Tamandua tetradactyla: one gene and its partner. The protein of the gene in region 1 purifies or fractionates together with the protein of each later gene. This does not show direct contact. Links are inferred from orthologs where the notes say so. Each region holds a gene or a part of one and is shown on either strand. Other genes may lie near its edges.

Evidence for each region.
Region 2: the proteins of XPO1 (region 1) and ATP-dependent RNA helicase DDX19A fractionate together in Homo sapiens (co-fractionation; 3 studies listed by BioGRID, with this or other methods). This does not show direct contact. The link is inferred for Tamandua tetradactyla from reciprocal best matches to the Homo sapiens genes XPO1 and DDX19A.

What each region holds. Positions count from the first base shown.
Region 1 is NC_135343.1:34,216,555-34,227,622, reverse strand, and holds the start of XPO1 (exportin-1), read left to right. Parts: upstream 1-6,821; 5' UTR 6,822-7,643; intron 7,644-10,982; 5' UTR 10,983-10,988; coding exon 10,989-11,068. UniProt on the Homo sapiens protein: Mediates the nuclear export of cellular proteins (cargos) bearing a leucine-rich nuclear export signal (NES) and of RNAs.
Region 2 is NC_135342.1:68,588,789-68,599,922, forward strand, and holds the start of ATP-dependent RNA helicase DDX19A, read right to left. Parts: upstream 5,114-11,134; 5' UTR 4,995-5,113; coding exon 4,938-4,994; intron 1,618-4,937; coding exon 1,569-1,617; intron 634-1,568; coding exon 583-633; intron 1-582. UniProt on the Homo sapiens protein: ATP-dependent RNA helicase involved in mRNA export from the nucleus.

The sequences.
Region 1 (11,068 bases):
GTGTCACTGTTTTGTGAAATAATGTTTAACTGTTAAATGTCTGCAGGGTGTGGGGGCAAAATTACCCCCTGTTGAGAATCACTGAAATAGATCCACTAATTTTGGTAGGTTTTTCATTTCTTCTAGAGTCAGAGCACCTGATAGAACATTTTAAAATTGTTATTGTTAGCATATATAATCCATTTCCTATTTGAGACTAAGGGTTTTTGGTTTATTTATTTTGTTTCTTGTTTTTGCATGGGCAGGTTCCAGGAATCGAACCTGAGTCTCCAGCAAGGCAGGCGAGAATTCTACCACTGAGCCTCATTGCCTGCACTGAGACTGCCGTGGTTTTTATACCATGATTTTGATAATAGATTATCAAAATTTAGTAATATATTCCTACAGTTTTTTGCTCTTTAAGTTTTCTACTAATGGTGATTATACCTGAATCTCTGCTAGTGATCAGAAAACTAGTGCCCCTGGCAGGCAATGCCAACATAGAGCAAAAAGTCAGATAGACCTATTAAATGGGGAGAATTAAAGGAAGCATAATGAGCCTAATTTGGAGTGGCATATAATGGCATTTCTCCTTTTCTTCAGAGTATAGAGTCACAGAATATCATATCTGCTAGCATCTTTTCATCAACATTAATTTCCAGGACTTCATTTCATTGCAAAGGCTAAAAGAGATTAATGCATGAATTCAATAAATATTTATTAAGTATAACTAAGAACTTGGCACAAAGCCATTACCTTTAAGGAATTTATGGTTTGATGAGCAATTGGGATCCTAATTCTTTTTTTTTTTTTGAGCTCCTAACTCTCTACTATCCTACCAACTAATTCCTCCTGAAGATTTCCCCATCTCAGAAGATGGTAACTCCACCCCTCCAGTCACTGAGGCAGAAATCCATTGCTGAATTCTCCCTTTCTCACACATCCCAATCCAATCCTTTAGGAAGTCCTTTTGATTCGACTTTCAAAACATTCAGAATCAGAACACTTTTGTGGCTACCACACTCCTCCAAGCCAAATCAATTCCTGGATTATTTAAGGGTCTCCTAACAGTTCTTCCTACTTCTACCCTTTGGTCCCCCAGGCTGTTCTCATCTCCACAGCCAGAAGGATCCTGTTAAAATTAGAAGTCAGGATGGCTCCAGAATCCATTCAGTAGAAAAGGCACGGGGTTCATAATGGCCTATCCTAAGGCCCTACAACCTGCCCCCCATCCTGTCCCTTTATTGCTCTGACTTGTCTTTCTCTTGTTCAGTCAACTCTGATCACAACTCTAGCCTCCTTGGTGGTCCTTAACACTTAGAGGTGCACTGGTAAATGTTTAACTACCAACTCTCAGAAAAGATGGCTTGATTTTTAGCTAACTTCCATGGTGTAAATACTCCCACTATGGCTGATTTCAAGCTCCCCAAGGTGATGTCATGCATTGCAGAGTTGTGAAGAGACGTGCAGCAGCACACCATTATATGGTATTTCCATCAGGCAGATACAATAGACACAAATAACTCCAAGAAGATAGATAATAGTAAAATGCACTAATAATTAGATGAGTTTTTAATATTTATTATTTTGCTTTTAATGTAATTTATCTCACAGTAAGATCACATAATTTAATTTTTTAATGGCTGTGCTTAACAACCAATTTACAAAATTCCTGAAAACTTAACAATTGGCTCCACCATACCACTGTAAGTAACACACTAAATATGTTTCTGCCTCAGGGCCTTTGAACTTGTTTTTCCACCTGTCTTCTCCCAAATTATTGGTAAGGAATTCCTCCCTCTTTTCCTTCAGGTCTTTACTTGAATGCCACCTTCTAGGCAATACCTTCCCCAGCCACCCTAAAAGTGTAACCACCACCACCGCCACACATTGCATTTCCTACCTTGCTTTATTTTTCTTATTTTTAACCTTAGCACTTAACATCATATAACACATTATTTCTCTGACTTATTTATATTATTTAATTCGTGTGTCTTCCATCAGACTAGACACTCAATGAAAGCAAAAATTCCCACAAGATTTATTCTCCATTGAACCCTTAGCACTTTGAACACAGACTAGCAAAGAGTGGGCTTTCAATGTATTTGTCGAATGAATAGATTAGTGTTACGCCTTTTCATGTCTTTTATTTTATTTCATTCATTGTTTCTTATTGCCTAATACATAATGGACTGTTTTTGTGAGTGAAAGAGATGACATATCTTTCCAAACCACAGGCATCAACTGTACTTTCCCTGCTTTATTTTACTTCTTATATACGTAGACCTATAATCCCAGCTTATTATTATTTTTAGCTTGGAAATATTTCTTGAAAAGCAACTCTATAGCTTCCCCTGGCCTGTCTGAGAATGGTCCTAGATAAATGATACTTCATCTCTCTTTTCTCCATGATTAAGAGAATTTGTGACCTATTGATGAGCGAGGAGAACAGTACGAATTTCTCAGAACATCAAGCTATAACTCCTAGATTTAGCAGCCTTGCCAAACACTTTTTCACTATGTTCTCAGGAAGGCAGCAACTCATTTTCAGACAATTGCTGATTCTGCTCCTGATTGATTCGAAGTTCTTAGACACCATGTAGATAGTTCATTGAGGTCTTAGTGACACAGCCTTTCACTCCACCGACAAAATATTCATGATTTTCCATAAACATTCTCAACACTGTCAATAAGAATAGGGTTGCAACCTGAATTAAGACATCCCAGGTCAATTGTTTCTTGAAAAGGGTATCCCTTTCCTCCCTGCATCATACTTCAGCATCAGATACAATTCTATTGGTGACGAAGTTAAATCGGCAATGTTTTTGAAATCTAAGTATGTGATGCTGTATACAATTTTGTGAAGTATTTTTTAAAAGCAAATAAAAAAACTATCTCCTAATAAGATATTACAGAGAAGCATTTTGTCCAGTGCATCCCTTCAGATCATATGAAGTTAGACTCCTTGGAAGAAAAAGCCCAGTGAAATACAATTTGAGCTCAATACCCGAATATGTGATTAGTTAGACTCATGGTATTTTTAGTTCAAGTGCCTGCTTTTTATCTCTGGTTGGAAGAAATCTATGTTGGAAGGCCACTACTATATCCCTCAGAAAAAAGTGGTATTAATTTCCTCAAAAACAGTGAAAAGACCAATGCCATTATTAAAGTAATAGATTTATTGCTTATCTTTTCCTTATTTTTCTTACTACATTACATGTGCATTTAATATTATTATTTATATATTCCTTGAGGAATGCAGAGTCATTGATGTTGCTTTCACAGCCCAAAGGTCAAATGTATATGCAAAGATTGCCCATTTGAATCATCAGACTCTGTTTGTGACTATAAAGAACTTCCTTATAGATATGTATTATGATCTGATCATCTGTTTAGGAAACAGCAAATACCGATGGGTTTTATGTGAAATAAACAGGCACTGTTCACACATTTTGTTTGATATGTAAATTGATAACATCTTCCAATATTTATAACAATAACAAATATATGTACCTTCTGAAACAATAATTCCACTTTTAGGACTTTAACCTAGAACTATATTGACATTTGTGCACAAGGATAAATGTACCAAGATATTCGCTGCAGCATTATTTGTAAGAGAGAAAACCAGAAATAGCCTATAGGCCTCGGCGGAATGGTTGAATCAGTTACAGTACCAAGACAAGGTGGAAGACTATGAGGCTGTTAACAAGGATGAGGTGGATTTACACATTCTGGCTTGTTGAGTAAAAAGTAAGTCACTGAATATATGTAGTATGACATCATATATGTTGAACAAAACACAAAGCAAATATGTTTATAAATGCTTAGAAAATATCTCAAAGTATGCACGGTATTCTGTTAATGATTATCTCTGAGAGTCAGAAGGTTGGGGGAAGTATACGAAGGAGGACTTTAAATTTTTACTGTAGTTATGGACTTCTCTTTCTCTTATTTCTAACAATGTTATTGTTTTGTGAGACAATGTTGAGTAATAGAAAGACCAGAAATTTAGTTCTAATAGTGATCCAACCACTTTGGGGTGGTATATGTGTGTCGGAGTGGCAGGGGAGAGAGTATGTTAGAGAGAGACAGAGAAAGAGAAAAATCTACAAAATAATAACTCTCTCACAAAACTGCTGTGAGAATTCAGTGAAATACTGTACAAAAAGTCCTAACACCCTGCTAGATACCAGATACACATTCAATATGGTTTATATACATTTCCCTATCCATATCTCACTCTAAAGTTCAAAATCTGTTTGCTTCCAACAAATGAAAAAAGTACTAGACAATTAATACGTCAGACCTCGTGTTTCGATTTTGATTCTGAAAATATGATCAAACTCAATTATCTGCCCCACTCTCTTTTTTTCTTGTTTTTTTAACTCACTTTTAAGTTTTTAATTTATTATTAATTCAAAATATTTTATATGATGTTTTAGTTTGTTAAGCTGCTGGAATGCAATATACCAGAAATGGAATGACTTTTTAAAAAGGGAATTTAAAAAGTTACAGGTTTACAGTCTAAGTCCATGAAAATGCCCAAATTAAGGCACCAACAAGAAGTTATCTTCATTCACGAAAGGCTGATGCCAACCAGAACACTCCTGTTAGCTGAGAAGGCACATGGCTGGCATCTGCTGGTCCTTAGCACCTAGGATCCTTGCTTTCAGCCTGTTTGCTGTGATTTCCTCTTTAAGTGTTTATGGGCCATCACTTAGCTCCTAGAGAATATAACTCTGGGTTCTGGCTTGCTTAGCATCTCCTGGGAAGGTGCATGCAAGTCAGTCCTTTTTGTAGTTGTTAATTAGACAACAAATTTATTTTGAATGTACCATTTTCTGCCACAAACTCTTCAGCTAACCCCAGGCAAAAGATGAACCAAATATTTACATCTGATTCACTATGGTCAGACAGATATGACCTCTTGGGGTGTGATTTAAAGATAGGATGAAAAGGTTAAAGTTGGGGATAGTAAACAGAGACTATCTGAATTTTACAATCCACAAAGTGCTTTATGATTTACACTGTTCCCTTGCTAACATTATTTCATTTGATTCTCAACACTAATTCTGTGAGAGAGGCATGGAGAATGTCAGCCTCATTAAATGGGGAAGAAGGAAACTGAGGCCCAAAGAGGTGAAGTGACTTGCCCAAGGTCACATTCCAAGTAAAGCCAGGTCTTACTCCCAGCTGTTTTTATTCCTACTATGCTTCCAATCTCAAAAATCAGGACCTTGTGGCCTGGTTCTAGAGCTTAAAATGGTGGGAGGGTGAACATTTTTAAAACAGGACAGTCCCAGTTTTTCTGGTAATAGAACATAAGTATTCCAAATGATCAGTATATATCACATACATTATATCTTATACCATATATTACATATCCTCTGGATTAGATTTGTTACGATTTGATATGATTCCCTTAGACAATGAATAAACACTCTATGTCTGAAACTCATCCAATATCATTTTGGTAAATCTAAGTGTTGGGTTGTTTTTGGGGTTTTCTGTAGTGGAGGGGCAGGAGTCATTCTTAAGTGGTGCTATTAGCCATTGCTCATTGTTTGCATTTACTGAAGAAAACTCCGTTGGTTTAATAAACTATTTATCAACCTCTTGGTGGCAGAGCGGGCTCAGTGAAAGTTTTGGTGGGCTGTTCTCAAGCAAAGAACAATTAGCAAAGCTGATTTGGAGGGCACTTCAGGACAAACAAGAGGTAACCACGTGAAAGGCCACGAGCGTGTAATTTTCATAGAAAATACCATTTGATGATGATGAAGTTGTGAAGGGCATCTAAGCTGAAAAGAAAAACGGAGAGTGGGGGCAGATCAAGGACACCAGGTGGGAGGCAGTTGGTATGCAAGTTTAACAAGCAAAAATAAACGCTGTTAAACCAATTGCCGGGGTACAATTAGTTTTTAGAATGTACTTCTAACCAGGCAGGGTTGGTTGTTGAAGCAGCCAAATTCCAGCCTGAAGAGACATAGCGCTAACATTTAAAGAGACTCGTGCCCAAGAACTACTCGGGTATCTTTTTCAGGATAATGAGATTACCAAGCGCAGGGGGTACACGCCCCACCTTATCCAGACCTCTTTCACGGTTATTCTCACCCTCAACTCTCTGGCCCAAACCCACTCTTAAAGTGGGTTAAAGTGGTCCGGGGCCTACAATCGGCCTCCGATTTTTACAAAAAATTTTAACCTTTTTTTCCCACCCCTCCCGATTTAAAAAATAAATTTAAAAAAGGCGTGCCCTCCGTTTTGGGAGCGTAGCCCGCATGCGAGAGGCGGGTCAGATCCCCGCATGACCAGGCCCCCCGCAGGTTGGCGGGAGCCGGAGGGGGCGGGTCGGCGCAGGTCCGGGAGAAGTCAACCCAACGGAGCCGCGCGCCGCGAGGAGACTCGCGCAGCCACCAGCTCCCGAGCTGCGCCCCACCCTCTCCGTCACCAAACGCGCCCAGCCAATGAACGGGCCGGAAAGGCTGAGCCTGCGGGCAAAGAACTGGGAGGGGGAGCCGCGGGAGGGGGAAGGGAAGTTGGGGGGCGGGTTGCATTTGACTGACAGCTCTCTTGAACCAATCCTCCACGCGGCGTCGCTCTCTCCCTTCTCTGCTGGGCTCAGCTCTATGCCCCACCACCTCCTCCTCCACCCCCCCTTCTCTCTCGCTTTCGACCCGCCCCACTTCCCCTCCCCCACTCTGCGGGCAAATCGCTGCTGGAAAGAGGCGGGGGCCGAAGCGGCGGGCTCGTATGGAGCCTTGAGGTGGGACTGACGGGCGATCAGGCCAATGAGAGCTAGAATGATGGCGCGGCTGTGGCTGGAACCGACCAATAGGCGGGTGGGCTGGGGGCGGAGGCCCAGGTTCCAAACGCTCCGCGGCGCCATGGGCTGAAAACTCAACCGAGATGGAATCTCCCAGTCTGAACCGGTTTCAACCGGTTCCGAGTTTGAGGCACTAGGAGGAGGGGGAGAAGCGGCTGCAGCGGCCGCGGCAGGAGCAGCGGGAGCTACAGCATCAGCAAGAGCAACAGTAGCTACAGCCCCGGCGGCGGTGCCTGTTCCCGTCTTTGCTGCTGCAGTCCGTGCAACCACCCAGAGGGGGAGGGGGGAACCACCAGCCGCTGAGAAGCAGGAGAAGGGGGGAAAGTTTAGGCGAGCCTGGGTGGGGGGGCCCAGCGCCGGAGCCGCGTGAGAGAGGGAGCCGTATTTTGGTGGTGGGGGGAGTCGGACTGCAACTGGCAGCAGAGCGTCCCCCCGACCGTGTGGACTCTACACCCCCTACTCCTGCCGCTCCCGCTGCTGCCTGTGGCTGGAGGGTCCCCCTGGGGCTGAATCTTTGGGACTTGACCCCGTTCCCCTCCCCCTTCCCTCACTCCCCGGCCGGGCGGGAGCATTTGTTCCACAGATTAATCCCCTTTCTTTTTTGGGGGGGGGGGGCGGGTGTGTGTGTGTGTGTTGGGGGGAGGTGCCCCTGAAATAGTAAATATTGTTCAGCTTTTTTTTTTTTTTTTGCCATTTTCCTCTCCTTTTTAAAATTTTTCCTTTTTTAAGGTGGGAAAACTGAGAAACCCACCTTGATTTCCTCCCCTCTCCCCCTTCCCACCTTCCCTCGCCCTAATTCCCCGAGAAGGAAGGAAGAAGCAGTTGGTTCAATCTCTCGGTAAGTCGACTGTGTCTTCGGGGCCGAGGGGCGGGAGGCGGTGGCCCGGCGGGAGGAGGCCGGCGTGGGGCGGGCGGCGGCCGCGGGAGGCGAGCTTGGGAGGCGGCGGCGGCGGCGGCGGCGGGCCGGGGGCGCGCCGGGCCCAGAGAGGATCCTGCGATTGAATGGAGCCTCTTCTGCCGCTGGGGGATGCAGGCGGGGAGGCGGCCGCGGGAGGGGAGCGCCTGCTCGGTCACTCGCGTGTGCGGGTGGCCGTGGAAGAAGGCAAGGAGCGTGGTAGTGGAGCGAGGCCCTGCGCGGGAGTGGAAGAGAAGTTGGGGTGATTTCAGGAACATCTCTAAATTATCAGGAGTGGAAGTTTCCAGAAATATTTAGTGCAGCAGCATTGAAACGTCCGCCTGCATCACGTGGCCCGCTCCAGTGGAGAGCTTGGGATCTGGCGAGGGAGGGGCTGCCGAGTCCCTGTTCCTCCTGCAAGGAAACTCAAAAGCTTTCTGGCTTTTATCAGAGTGGGATGAGAAGTAGGAAAGATTAATTTTTTTCACGGCTCTGTGAGCGGGGTTCCGTGTTGTACTTTCTTGTTCCGACATGAGAGTGTAAAGAGATGGAATCGTTTACTGCTGGCATTGTAGAGTGTATGATGCCCTGATCCTCCTTCATCCCGATGTCTCCCAGTTTGGGGAGGTGGGAGGAAGTGGTGTGGTAGAGGAAGCATGAAATATTTGCCGAGCCGGGACCTCTGAACAGGCCGAGGCCATGCTGCATAGAGAACGGGGCGGTGAACTTAAGGCTGCTGGTCTAAAAGCCTCCTCCGAGTATGGGCGGGGTGAGTGCGTGCTCCAGTATGCTATAGTTAGAAGTGCTGCAAATCGGTTCGAGTGGGAAGCAAGGGAGGGCGGGCCTTAATGAGGTGTGTTTCTACTGAATGAAGCAGGCGATTGCCCATACACCTAAGTAGCAGTCTGTTGCCTTGTAGCGACTTGTTTTTTGACCTGGTGTGAAGTAATCATAATCATTAAGCAGTGGTTATGATTTTCTAATTTTTGGATGGTACCTGGCAGTGTGTACGCTGCCTGCCTAGTTAGTTTGAAGTGGCAGTGAACATGTTTTGGTAGTCACTTGTAGAGTCACAACTTTGCTGGATAATCCCTCAAATGTGCTATCCAGTGAGTGGATTTTAGGATTGAGGGCCCAAGGAGAAAAGAAAGCATTAGTGGTTTCTTCCCACCCACTATAGCTGTTTACTAACTGCTTGGTTGTATATCTTGAGCGGGACACTGCTGTTGTGGAAAGAATGTTTTGGAAGCTGTTTGATTTGGGGTACTAAATGTGCTTGGCGTTGACCACAAAGCCGCCATGTCTGTATTAGTACAGTTCAAGAATAGGTAGGTCATTTTGAACATAACCGCTAGTTCTAATAATGGCAAAACTATTGTATTTAAAGGCTCCTATTCCAAACGTGATTTTTCACATGACTGTAGCTAGGAGAATTCTGCAAGGACAATGTACTTGAAAGTGAAACTTTTCACGAGTTACTTGATTGATCCTTTTTCTATTTTAGCTTTTTAAAAACTGACAGCTAAATAGGGAGAAAGTTCTTTGCATTTTTAACCAAAATAATTGAAAACTTATTTTTGATAGGCTTTTCAGTCTCACGTTTTTAAGATTGTTCTGTGGCACTTGAAGGGAATTGCTCATTTATTTGTGGAATGTGTTTCTTTTTTTATATTAGCTATTTAGACCTAAAGCATTTATTATGGTGTATATAACAGACATGGTTTTTAAAACATGCTTGCTTAATACCTGCTATGAACAATTTTGAAATCTCGTAAGTTTTAGTTGCCACTAATGAACCATAAGACTTCAAAGGAATAAAAAATATCCTTGAATTATTACTTGATTTTTTTAACATTATATCTAATTTAAATAACTAATTTTTTAGATTTCTAGTTTGTTGTAATTAAAATTATCTTTAAAATTTTTTTTAGTTAAACTACTGTGAAATAGTCAAGAAATAACACATTTTTCATATCAAGCTAGTTTGTCCAAGGTGGACTCAAGCAGTCAAATCCTGGTAATGAAAAGTTTTCAAGAGGGGTAGAAGTAGAGATGACCATCTGACCTTGTTTCTCAATAACACTAAACCAGGGTTTCTAAACTTGAGGTTTCATGGGTGACTTTCAAGGTGTCCTAAATCCTTTGTAATTGTTCACGAAATTGTCAGTTTTTATTGGGTAAGAGCTATAGTGTTCTCTGATTCTAAGTCATCTTGACCCAAAAAAGGTTAAGGACTACTGCTTTAACTAGACAGACTTGAGTGGCATTAGCTTTAAAGAGAGAAATTGGAGAGACGATATTTTATAATGCCAGGCAGCAAAAATGTGGGTATGTGCCAGCATTGTAGAGTTGAATCCTCTTAAAAGGATAAAATTGCATATAAACCAGTAGATTTTAATCAGTATATTTATTTGAAGTTAAGTAGTTCTTGTTATGATAAAATTTGCTTTTGTTTGGAAAATAGTTGGCAAGTTTTTATGCTGCCGAAGAATACCTGTAAAATTTTTGAAATCTTGTTTGGCACATTGCCATAAGTTTTGTTCCTATATCATGTATAGAAAAAATTGCTAATCTTGTATGGTAATTTTGATCCCAGATTTCATTGAGGGTTGAAAGTAACAAGTATAGATGATTTTTATGGAGTGTAGAAGCGTAAGTTTTATAGAGGTGTTAAGTAAGGGAATTGGTACCAAAATTTGTTAGTCTTGTAGTTCCTGCTAATCATTGTTATGTACAATAGAAAGTCTTATATATCTGCATTTAATTTTTAATATCTCCTGCCCTTTAAGCATATCTTTAAAAATTAAGATAATGTGAAATGAGGGAAAATGAGCTTTTACTGAATTCTGTAGAAGGACCCTACTTTGGGAAGAACAAAAAACCATCTACTTGAACATCGTCTCTGTTTACAATTTGAGATCAAGATTTTGAACTTTATCCATTTATAGGGCCATAAAATTCTAAAAATGGATTTGATTTAAAAATAGGGTAACTGTTTACGTAAAATACTAGTAAAACAGTAAGTTTTTCTCTAGTTTAAAAATAGACACTTAAGAAGTTGGACGGACCCTAATAATTTCTGCAGTTATGGAGTAGCTAAGTAATTTCAGTTTTATTTGTTTTTACTATCTCAATTGTTTTATAATAATTAGATAAGTTCCTTAAAGTGGTTATTAAAATGTTGTAATAACACAATTGAAGTAAAATAACTTTTGAATAGAAATTTTTGGACTAATATCAAAACTTCATAGGCAGCTTCAATTTTCTTTTCTTTCTTTTCAGTAATCTATGCCAGCAATTATGACAATGTTAGCAGACCATGCAGCTCGCCAGCTGCTCGATTTCAGCCAAAAACTGGATATCAACCT
Region 2 (11,134 bases), on another chromosome or scaffold:
ACAGATTCTATCCTCTCGGGCCTACAAAAACACTTCTCCTGACACTGGCCCTCTCAGGCATTGTCAGTTTCTCCTTTCCATGAGCATGTGAATATACTTTAACCTCACTCACATTACCTCTGCTTCGTCCCTTACCCCACATCCCCATCCAGTCACTGCCCTGTTTCTCTTTTCCCTCTTATGCAGCAGTCCCCGTAAGGTTATCTGTACCTATTCCCACTGCCTCTCCTCCCCTTTTCCCTTGAACACATACTGAGTAGTACTTTTTAACCTTCCTACTCTACCTCAACAGCTCTTATCAGGCACACTGATGATTTCCACCTTAGCAAATCAATCTAAAGGTCAATTTTAAGTTTTTCTTTTATTCTACTTATTACCTAATATTTTGAAACACTTTCTTCTTCTGGCTTGTGGGACACCACACACTTCTGGTTCTCCTCTTATCTCACAGTGAGAATCTCCTTTCCTTATTCCTCCTCATCTCCCTGATCTTACATTTATCTCAGAGTGTTTCTGGGATCCAGGAAGGCAAGTCCTATGTCATACTTCACCTCTTGCCATAGGGCTTCAAATAGGCATTACCTTTCTCTTCTTCATCTGCTTTCTCTGCAGTGGCATTGGTTTTGACAATACCTACAAAAGAATAGTTATTGTCACTAGAAAGGCAAATATCAAACCTACCCAAAAGCTTGAGTATAAACTCTGTGGTGAGGCTGTAGGGAAATGTACATTCTCATGCTTTGTGATAGAAATATGAATTGGTATAATATCTATGGATGGTACTTTGAAAATACTGAAGGTATTTTTTAGAATTTGTCCTATAAACGTACTTATATACATGAAGAAAGATTTAAGTTCATGGCTATTCCATTAAGTGCTGTTTATAATGGTATAACATTGGGAACAACCCAAATATCTATCAATAAATGACTGGCTAAATAAATTGTGGTATACACACATAATGCAATATTATGCAGTTATAAAAAGGAGTAAGGAAATTCCATGCACTGATTGGGAAAGCGTGCTGAGGTATATTACTGAGTAAAGAAAGGAATATTATGCCACTTTTTGGTTAAAAAAAGAGGGAATCTATATTGGTATTTGCTTTGCATAAAGAAGCTTTGAAAATACATGAAATACCCAAGAACAGCGGCTATTTATGGGAGTGTATGTGTATACAGGGGACAGGACAAATGAGGACCAAGATGGGAAGGAGGCCTTTCACTTTTTTCTACTTTCTGAGTTTAGAACCCAGAAATTAGAATTTTTCAGATGTTAGTTTAGAATTTTTTCAAAAAATTAAATTAAAAAACATTAAAGAAACATTATCAAGTGAACACTGGTAGTACACTCCAGTAGTGATTACAGGATTTAAAGAATCAGAGGTTACAGGAAATGTGGGAGCATAATATATATCACCTTCAGTTATGAAACTTAATATACTGGTTCTCAAATCTAGTGCTGTCACATGCCAAGTGTATAATAAATGAAAGCTCCTCAGCACACTGCAGTTCTGAGTGCTAAACAGAACAGCATGTGAAGCTTGTAGCTAGCTTGTAGTCACTCACCATTGGTATCTGATTTGATCTTCTCTTCCTTGATCTGCAAGCTGTTCATCTGATTGGGAATAAAAGGAAACAGAGTTAAGCAAATTACACACTCAAAAGAAGGCCTTTCCCCAGTGAAAGTCTAGCAGAAACTATTTCAACATCCGTATTTGAGGGCTTTGTTTGTCTGCTCAGTTTAGTAAATTACTAAAAGCCTGGATAAAAACATCACTTAAAATATCTCCAACAGCCTAAATAAAAAGAGAGGGTGGGTTAAATGTAATGATAGGGAGAAAAAGTATGACTATAGTCTCAAACCTCTGCTTCTCTCCCTATTAATGCTCTTTCTACAACATCTAGCCTTCATTAAATAAGTATCTATTATATCCTTTCAATGCCACAAACACTCAGTCTTCCTACATACAGTGAAGAATGATACCACCTAAATATCTCAAACAAGCTTTTATCTTTTTAGCCCTGAAACCCACACCCTTAATTAAAAGCAACACTTAAATAAATTAGTTTTCTTTCTTATCAACCACCTACATATAAATTAGTCAAAAGCTTGTTACCCTGAAAGTATTGATAAACTAAGTTCCTGATTTGAGAATCTTCCAAAAATGTAAACAAAATGGTTTTTCATCTACTCTTGGCCACTTCGTCAATACAAACTAAGCAGAACACTTAAACAGAATAATAATTCATATGTCTGCAAACAAGCCTCCAATGTCATGAGAATTATTTTCCTATACTGAAAGTGTTGGTAAGAATAATTGTGTGAACAAACAAACTCACTGTCTTCGTGGGACATGACTCCCAGAGGTGTGGACCTTCCTGGCAATGTGAGACAGAAATCCTAGAATGAGCTGGGACTCAGCATCTAGGAATTGAGAAAACTTTCTCAACTGAAAGGGGGAAGAGTGAAATGAGACAAAATAAAGTGTCAATGGCTGAGAGATTCCAAACAGATTCGAGAAGTTATCCTGGAGATTATTATTATTATGCATTATATAAATATCACCTTTTTGTTAAGGTGTAATGGAGAGGCTGGAGGGAACTGCTTGAAAATGTAGAGCTGTGTTCCAGCAGCCATGTTTCTTAAAGATGATCGTACAATGATATAGCTTTTGCAATGTGACTGTGATCGTAAAAATTGTGTGTCTGATGCTCCTTTTATCTACCTTATCAACAAACAAGTAAAACATATGGATTAAAAATAAATAAACAACAGGGGGAACAAATGTTAAAACAAATTTAGCAGAATGAAATGCTAGTGATCAATGAAAGGGAGGGGAAAGGTGTATGCTGTATATGAATTTTTTTCTGTTTTCTTTTTATTTTTCTGAATTGATGCAAATGTTCTAAGAAATGATCATGATGATGAATACACAACTATGTGATGATATTGTGAGTTACTGATTATATATGTAGAATGGAATGATCATATGGTAAGAATGTTTGTGTTTGTATGTTGCTATGTTAATAAAAAATAATAGCAATAATAATTCGTGATATTATAAAGGTTGTGCGGAATACCCAAATGAAGCCCTAGGCCCCAAGCTCTGCTCCCCACAAGAGCCTAGTTGACATAATTCATTATCCTTAAGAGCATCACTAATGTTCACTGAGGGCTTACTGTACTTTGTTAAATATGTTGCCTCCTCCAATCCCCCTCCCTGCAACCTGAGCTTGCTCTTGGCCTTTAGGAAAAGGAGGTCCACCCTCATACAGCAGAGTACTGATCTGATCTCTTAAGAAACCAGTTTTTAAAGATCAAAATCAGATTAACATACCTCCTTGGGGACAGATGCCTTTTCTCTCAAGCCAATGGGAAAGTTGGCACACACAAGACAAGGCATCTTTTAAAAGAACTTACCCATCAGCTAATCCTCATACTGCGGCTATCTGTATTATATCTATATATTGATCTATAGGGATCAATAGAAGCATATTACTCTTGCAACGTCTGAAAATGTGATTAAGACAGTCTGAAGCCCCATTCCAAACAAGCTGATTAGTCTTTGAGAAGTCTGACTGATGAAAAAGAACACTGTAACCGAATCTAACATATCGCAATCTGTATAATGTGTTAACAAAAGGCAACATGCTCAACAGCTGGAGAAAGAGATCCTAAGGGCAACAACTTGTCAGCATTTACTCAGCCATATTCAAGGAGGAATGTGCTGGCAGTCAAGTCCTCCTGTTTTGAGAGAGGTAACTTCAGCATGGGGAAGAGGCAGGCCAATCAGCACCCTATTTTTCTACACTCTGGATTCACCCTTTGCAGCAACCTTCTCATCATTAATCTAGTCTTTCACAAAAGGCAGTGTCTCTGACACTAGACACAGGTTTTCAGTCATGATAAAGGTATTTTCCCCCAACATAAGTAATAAAATAACTCCTGCCTGGGTGGCTAGCATTATGCGAGTTCCCAAGGCCCTGATTCACTGAAAGGTGACCTTGCAGACACTAAAAGGGACTTCATGGAGGACCTCAGGATCTCTATGACAGCTCTAATTTCAAAAAGGTCACAGGTTATATCTCTAAAGATTCTTAGGGTTTCTTTTTTTTTTTTTAATTTGCTAGTCTTGGAAAGAAAAGAAACTTAATTGGTGACATAGCCAGAGGAAGTAAAGGAAACATTGTGTCTGAAAATATGTCAGGGACAAATGAACTGGCATCAATCAGGTCCTTTCTATTTTTACTACTTCAATTCATATTTTTATTATCTTTCATTGGGACTCCCCAAATTGCATCCAACCCAGATTCCCAGATACATTATTCTCTCTCTCTTTCTTCCCTCCAGATCTATTTTTATATGCCAGAAAAGACTCTGAAAGTACAACTTTGACCACATAAGCTTGGAAACTTTCAAAGAGTAAACAGTACATGGAAATAAATGTTACTATAAACAACATCAATGAAAAAAATTGAAGTGCCTCCCAACCCCACCAACATCTACAGTAGGTTGAAACATATTTCTTCTGCGAAGAGCTACAAGCTGCCAATCATATTAGACCCAGTCATGGATCCAAGACATGCTAAAATATGAATTACCTAGGACACTGAAAACAGTTGCTTAATAGATAAAGAGAATCCGCGTTATATTTGCCTTTGCTTAAAACCGACCCTGAAAATACAGGTGCAATACAGGAAAGACAGGATACGTGGCAGGGAGAGATCTGCCACAAGATAAAATTATAATTGGCCCAAATGAAAATAAAAAATGGGATACTGGCCTCTTTAGTTTTAGACGCAAATAAGATTTAATCTCAGGGCGCATGTCCACAGGCCTACTCGCCCCGGGAGCACTTTCCCCCTGGGCTCGAACCTGGGTCCGCCTAAGCCGCTACTATATTCTCACCACCCTTTTGAGTTAAAGCAACTAACCGACTTGACTGCCGCTTCCTGTTCGTCCACAGCTAGGGCCCACGAGTCGGTGGCCATGGTCCTAAGGGCGGAAGGCAAACACGAGGGAATACACAAGGACCACACGTCAGCACCAGCCCTAAACCATCCGCGGGCCAGAAAACGTCTCTCACGCGGACCGGAAGCAGCAGCGCGATAAAGTGACGTCAGGCCCGAGAAGCCGCCATTCCCCGCCCGCGGCTAATCTCCGCCCTCCCTCCTCGCTTGAGAAACTCGTCATTTCCGCCGGATTTAGCGAGGCGCTTCCTCGTTGTACCTTGAAGTCCTATATCTCTGCTGAGTAAAACTCTTCTCTCACTTCTCTCTGAAGTTTTAGTTGTAAAACTACCACGTTTCATAGTAAATGTAGAGTCTCTGAACTGTGATGAAATTATCTAGAGGAAGCCCTGGGACCACTTCAGAGCTAAAAAATAAAAAAAAAACCAAACCATAAAAACCATGCCCTACAAAAGAATAAAACAAAACAAAAACCCAAAACCATGCCCTACTTACTCTTTGACCTCCTTCTTCAGTTTCCTTTTGATATCTTTTGAAACTTGAATCCCCACTAAGGGGACCCAGATAGCGATTCAAGCATCTAGTCTTTATATTTTACCCAATACAAAATAATGTCCACCTGCCCCAAACTGGTCCATATATACTTGAAAAGCCCCTGTCCAATCAATAAGAGTCAAGCTAACTTCCGTTTTGTATCTATAAAAAGGCCAAGAAGCTCCCAGCTGTTTTCACTTTTGCAGGTGAACTGACTGACTTGTTGCTGTAAAACTTTGGATGTCTAAAATAAAATGCTATAATCTGCACGCTCAATTCTGATTTGTGTTTTGACAACTGTAAAGCTTTATACAAAGGAAAGCTACATGAAACAGAATACCATATGATGCTAGTTTCTACTCTTAGAAGTGATAACACATAAGAAAAAATGGAAAACACACACACACCACTTCATCCCCACAATCCCATCATTTCTATAAACACACGAACAGCATTTTTTTCCTTCTGGGTTCTTCCAGTTTTTGTCCATATGCAACATAGCAGGGGTATTTTACACAGTCCCCCAAAAAGTATACATACAATTTTAAATTTAACATTATAAGACTACGTGGTTTCTCATGTCATTATTAACCATTTAGTTGCTTCTGATAAATATTTTTGTCTCTCCTTGAAAGCATATGAAGTCTTCAAAAAGAGCAAAGATCTCATCTGTCTTGGTCACTGCTAATTAGTAAACCCGGGAAAGTGCCTGGCACATACAATATTTATCCTTTTGAGTCAATAAATATTAATTTATTATTATATTAGCTTTTTATATAGCAATAAATAGCTTTTTATTTAAGATGTATTACTCCAGAATAAGTTTCTATACAGTGGAAGAATGTGTCAAAATAAATGCATAACTTGAACACACTTCAAAAATGAGAATATGTCAATAAGTACATGAAAAGGTGTTAAAACCATTAGTTATTGGGGAAAAGTAAACCAAAGTCGCAGTGAGATACCACTACACACCACTAGAATAGCTAAAATTAAATATTTACATGCCAGGTGTTGAGAAGCAGGTGGAGCAACTGGAACTCTCATAAACTTCTAGAGGGAGTGTAAAATAGCACAAGTTTTGTAGAACTGTGTGGCAATTTCTCAAGATGTTAAACATGTACCTACTGTATGACCCATCAATTTTATTCCAAGAGAAATGAAAAGATATGTCCACAAAGAGACCTGTACACAAATGTTTGTAACAACTTTAGTCATAATAACCCAAAACTGAAAACAACCCAAAATGTCCATCAACAGGAGAATGGATAAACAAATTGAAGTATATTTGTCCGATGGAATACTACTCAGCAATAAAAAAGAACTACTGATAACACATGATGAAACAGATGAATTTTACAGACATTATGCTACAGATAACAGACATGAGATAAATTCTGTCTAATTTTATTTATATGAGGTTCAAGAATGAGTAAAACAAAATCTATAGTAATTTCAGAACACTGGTTGCCTCTGGATGGGGTTAAGGTTGTGTTTTGGGTTGCTAAAGCTGGTGGACTGCAATACACCAGAAATGGAATGGCTTTTATAAAGGAAATTTATTACATTATGAGTTTATAGTGCTAAGGCCATAAAAATGTCCAAACTAAGGCATCCCGGAAAAGACACCTTGACTCAAGCTAGGTCGATGTCTGTCACACAGGAAAGCACATGGCTGGCATCTGCTGATTTCTTGTTTCTGCTCTGTTGCTTCCAGCTTCTGATCCCAGAGGTCTCCTCTCTAAGTGTTTATGGGCCTTCAAGTAGCTCCTCTGGGACATAACTCTGTGTTCTGGCTTGCTTAGCAACTCATGAGAAGGTACATGGCGATGTCTGCTGGGCTCTGCCCATGTCTAGGTGTCTGCTCTCTCTATTGGTGCTCCAAGCATCTCCAAACATCTGTGTTACTGTCAGTTCTGAATCAAGTGTTCTCCAAGCATCTGCAACTGAGGTTTCTTCAAAATGTTTCCCCTTTTAAAGGATTCTAGTAAATTAATCAAAACCCACCTTGAATGGGTGGAGTCACATATCCATCTCATCAAAAGGCCACACCCACAACTACATGTGTCACATCTCCATGGAAACAATTCAGAGTTTCCCACCCTAAGCAATAGGTCTGGCTCCACAAGATTGGATCAGGATTCAAACATGACTTTTCTGGGGTACATAACAGTTTCAAACCAGCACAGGTGGATAGGACATAAGGGAACTTCCTGGGAAGATGGAAATGTTTTATATCTTGAATTGGGGTCCTGGTTTCATATAACATTTGTCAAAATACGTTATCGGTTTTAACAGTATTAACTGTATCTTTAACATGTCGCTTTATAGTATGTAAATTATACCTCTCAATGAAGTTGATTAAAAAGCAAAAGAGGAATGAACTACTGCTACACTCAACAACATGGATGAGTGATTCGCAATCTCAAAGACATTAGGTTTGAGTGAAAGAATACAGACACAAAAAGAGTACACAGTGCATGACTCCATTTGTAAAAGTTCAAAATAGGTATTTCTAATCTATAGCAACAGAAATCAGAACGATGGTTGCCAGGGCATGGGCTGAAGTGGGTAGGATTGATTTTGAAAAGGAGCACAAGTGAACTTTCTGGAGTGACGAAAATGTTCAAACCTTGATTGGGGTGGTTGTTACTCAGGTGATGCAATGATCAAAACTCATGGAATTGTACACCTAATATCTGTGTATTGTGCTTAATATAATGTATATGTCAATTAAAAATAAGACAATTGCTTTAGTTTCCTGGCTGCTAAAAGAAATACCATACAATCAGTTGGCTCAAAATCAGAAATCTGACTCATGATGTCAGAAGCTAGAAGGCTTGTTTCCTCTCGGGTTCGATATCTTCTGGCTGGCCGACAATCGCTGGAGTTGTTGGCTATACTGTCACATAGACACACATGTGGCAGTGTATTCTTTCTCTTCAGGGTTCTGTTAACTTCCAGCTTCCGGCTGCTCCCTGTGGCTTCTCTTTTTTTTTTTTTTTTCTCGTTGACCTTCAAATTTTATTGTCACTAGATTGTATTTGTTGAAGGGAAGGGATCCTGAATGAATGAATGGATCTATGATATTTTGTTCATCTCTCAAACAAAATTGGGAAAAAGGTTCACATTGTTATTCCATCCAGGATCTGTATCTGATTCAGAGGAAGCCAACCACTGCTGCTGGGGGATGCTATCCTCCAGGACAATGGCAGGATATGGGCATGGAGGGAACCATGGTGGGTTCGGGGTCCAGTGTGCCCAACCTGGCATCTTCTGGTTCTTCTTGGGGCCTGAGGATTGTGCAGGTTTGGAGTTTGAACACGGAAGGTGGAACACTGGCCATGTTCTCATGGGGACCACCTGTGGGCTTCTTTGGTTTCTGAGTGTCTTCCTTCTTTACTTCCTGGGAGTTTCTAGTTGTTTCAGGTTGAAGGTTTGGTTCCTCCATTTTGACCTCTGTGTTTCCTCTGGAGACGTTTTTCTCTTCAGCCATAGGGTCTAATCCAGGGTGTGCAGAGCAGGCCCTTATTCCTGTGCTGTGGGGATTCAGGTAAGAATGGAGGCCCCAAGTATGGAAATAAGTCCTCTTCTTACTGCTGCCTGGAATGCTGTGGCTTCTCTTTTTACGTCCAATTTCATTTGTTTATAGTGATTTCAGCCATATTGGATCAAGGCCCACCTTCATTCAGTTTGGGCATACCTTAACCAATAACATCTTCAAAGGTCCAATCTACAATGGCTTCACATTCTAGGCCCAAGGTTGGGATCTGACTGACCTTTTGTGGTGGACATGATTTAATCCCCAACAACAATGTAATGAAAAACAAAACCAAAGCTTAAAAAAAGTACAGGTGGTAATAAATTCATTTGTACTGTGAAAAAAAAAGAGGGGAGGGGGTAAGAACGTTTTCTCAGCTCCTAACAACTCATCAAAACAGAGGACCTGCATATATAGACACACACGCACAGCTGCTGAAGGATATCAAATGATATCTTGTCTTTGCATATGACAAGTCTAATTCCTAGCATCCTCACCACCAATATGCTACTGCCTTAAGATTACATACTTATCAGGACACAGTGCCATGTTCTCACTCTACATCAGACAACAATCCTGTGGAGATGGCTAATTGGCTTCCTGGGTAGAATGATGGTCCTCTGGTCCTTATTAGCTGTATTAGTTAGGGTTCTCTAGAGAAACAGAATCAACAGGGAACACTTGCAAATATAAAATTTATGAAAGTGTCTCACATGACCGTAGGAATGCAGAGTCCACGTGACCGTAGGAATGCAGAGTCCAAAATCCACAGGGCAGGCTGCAAAGCCGATGACTCCAATGGATGGCCTGGATGAACTCCACAGGAGAGGCTCACCAGCCAAAGCAGGAATGCAACCTGTCTCCTCTGAGTCCTCCTTAAAAGGCTTCCCATGATTGGATTTAGCATCACTAATTGCAGAAGACACTTCCCTTTGGCTGATTACAAATGGAATCAGCTGTGGATGTAGCTGACGTGATCATGACCTAATCCTATGAAATGTCCTCATTGCAACAGACAGGCCAGCGCTTGCCCAATCAGATGAACAGGTACCACAACTTGGCCAAGTTGACACCTGTCCCTAACCATGACATCAGCCTAATCATCCCTTTTCAAAAAAAACTAAATTTCTGAGGCACCTCTCACCTTTTCTTGTCTCAAACACCTACATCCCAAAGCTTCTCATCAAAAGCAAAAGCAGCAACACCAGAATCTCTCACAACTGTGAATCCTATGGGGCAGGAGTCCCTGTTAAGAGCAGAACTTGAAGTGTGCATGCCCGTAGCTCTCTTTTGATTGCTACTTCCTTATGAAGCATGACTGCTCTGGGATTGAGGGGCTGACTCCTGTAGTGCTTCCACCAAAACAATTCCTAGAGCTAAACTTGGTCTCTGGGGGAATTAGGGTAGGATTTTTGCATGCACTGGATTTGTAGGGCATTTTCTAACATTTCCTTTTATTTATTCCACTACAACTACTGGGAGGTGATCTGCATTTGTTTAAGCCAAGTGGGTGCTCTCAGGGAGATGCAGCCATGTTACACCAACTGGGACAAAGACAACAGCCACTGGCCAATATTTAGGGAAGTTCTGGGAAACAGGGAGCTTTCTGCTATAGTAGCACACTCCTTTCTCTCAGCTAGTGTTATACTCCAAAGGGAGGATGTTGGGGATTGAATAATGTCCCCCATAAAGACATGTTCAAGTTTTAAATGTGCATTCCTGTGGCTGCAAATCCATTTGTTAAGATGACCTTTGAAGATATTAAGGTTTGGACTCATTTGTGAATAGGATTTTCAAAGATCTTATTTAGATGAGACCAAACAATCAGTATGAGCCTTAATCCATATGACTAGAGTCCTTATAAGGCACAGGAAATTCAGATGCAGTCAAAGAAATACACAGGAAGAAAACAAGGAGACAAATTGCATGTAACCCAGACAGAGATGCAAGCCCAGGAACCCAAAGGACTGTACAAGCCATCACCAGAATGCAAGACTCCAGGGGAAAGCATGACCTGTCCAGGCCTTGATTTTGAACCTTGCCCTCCAAAATCTTGAGAAACTCCTGTTGTTTAAACCAACTGGTT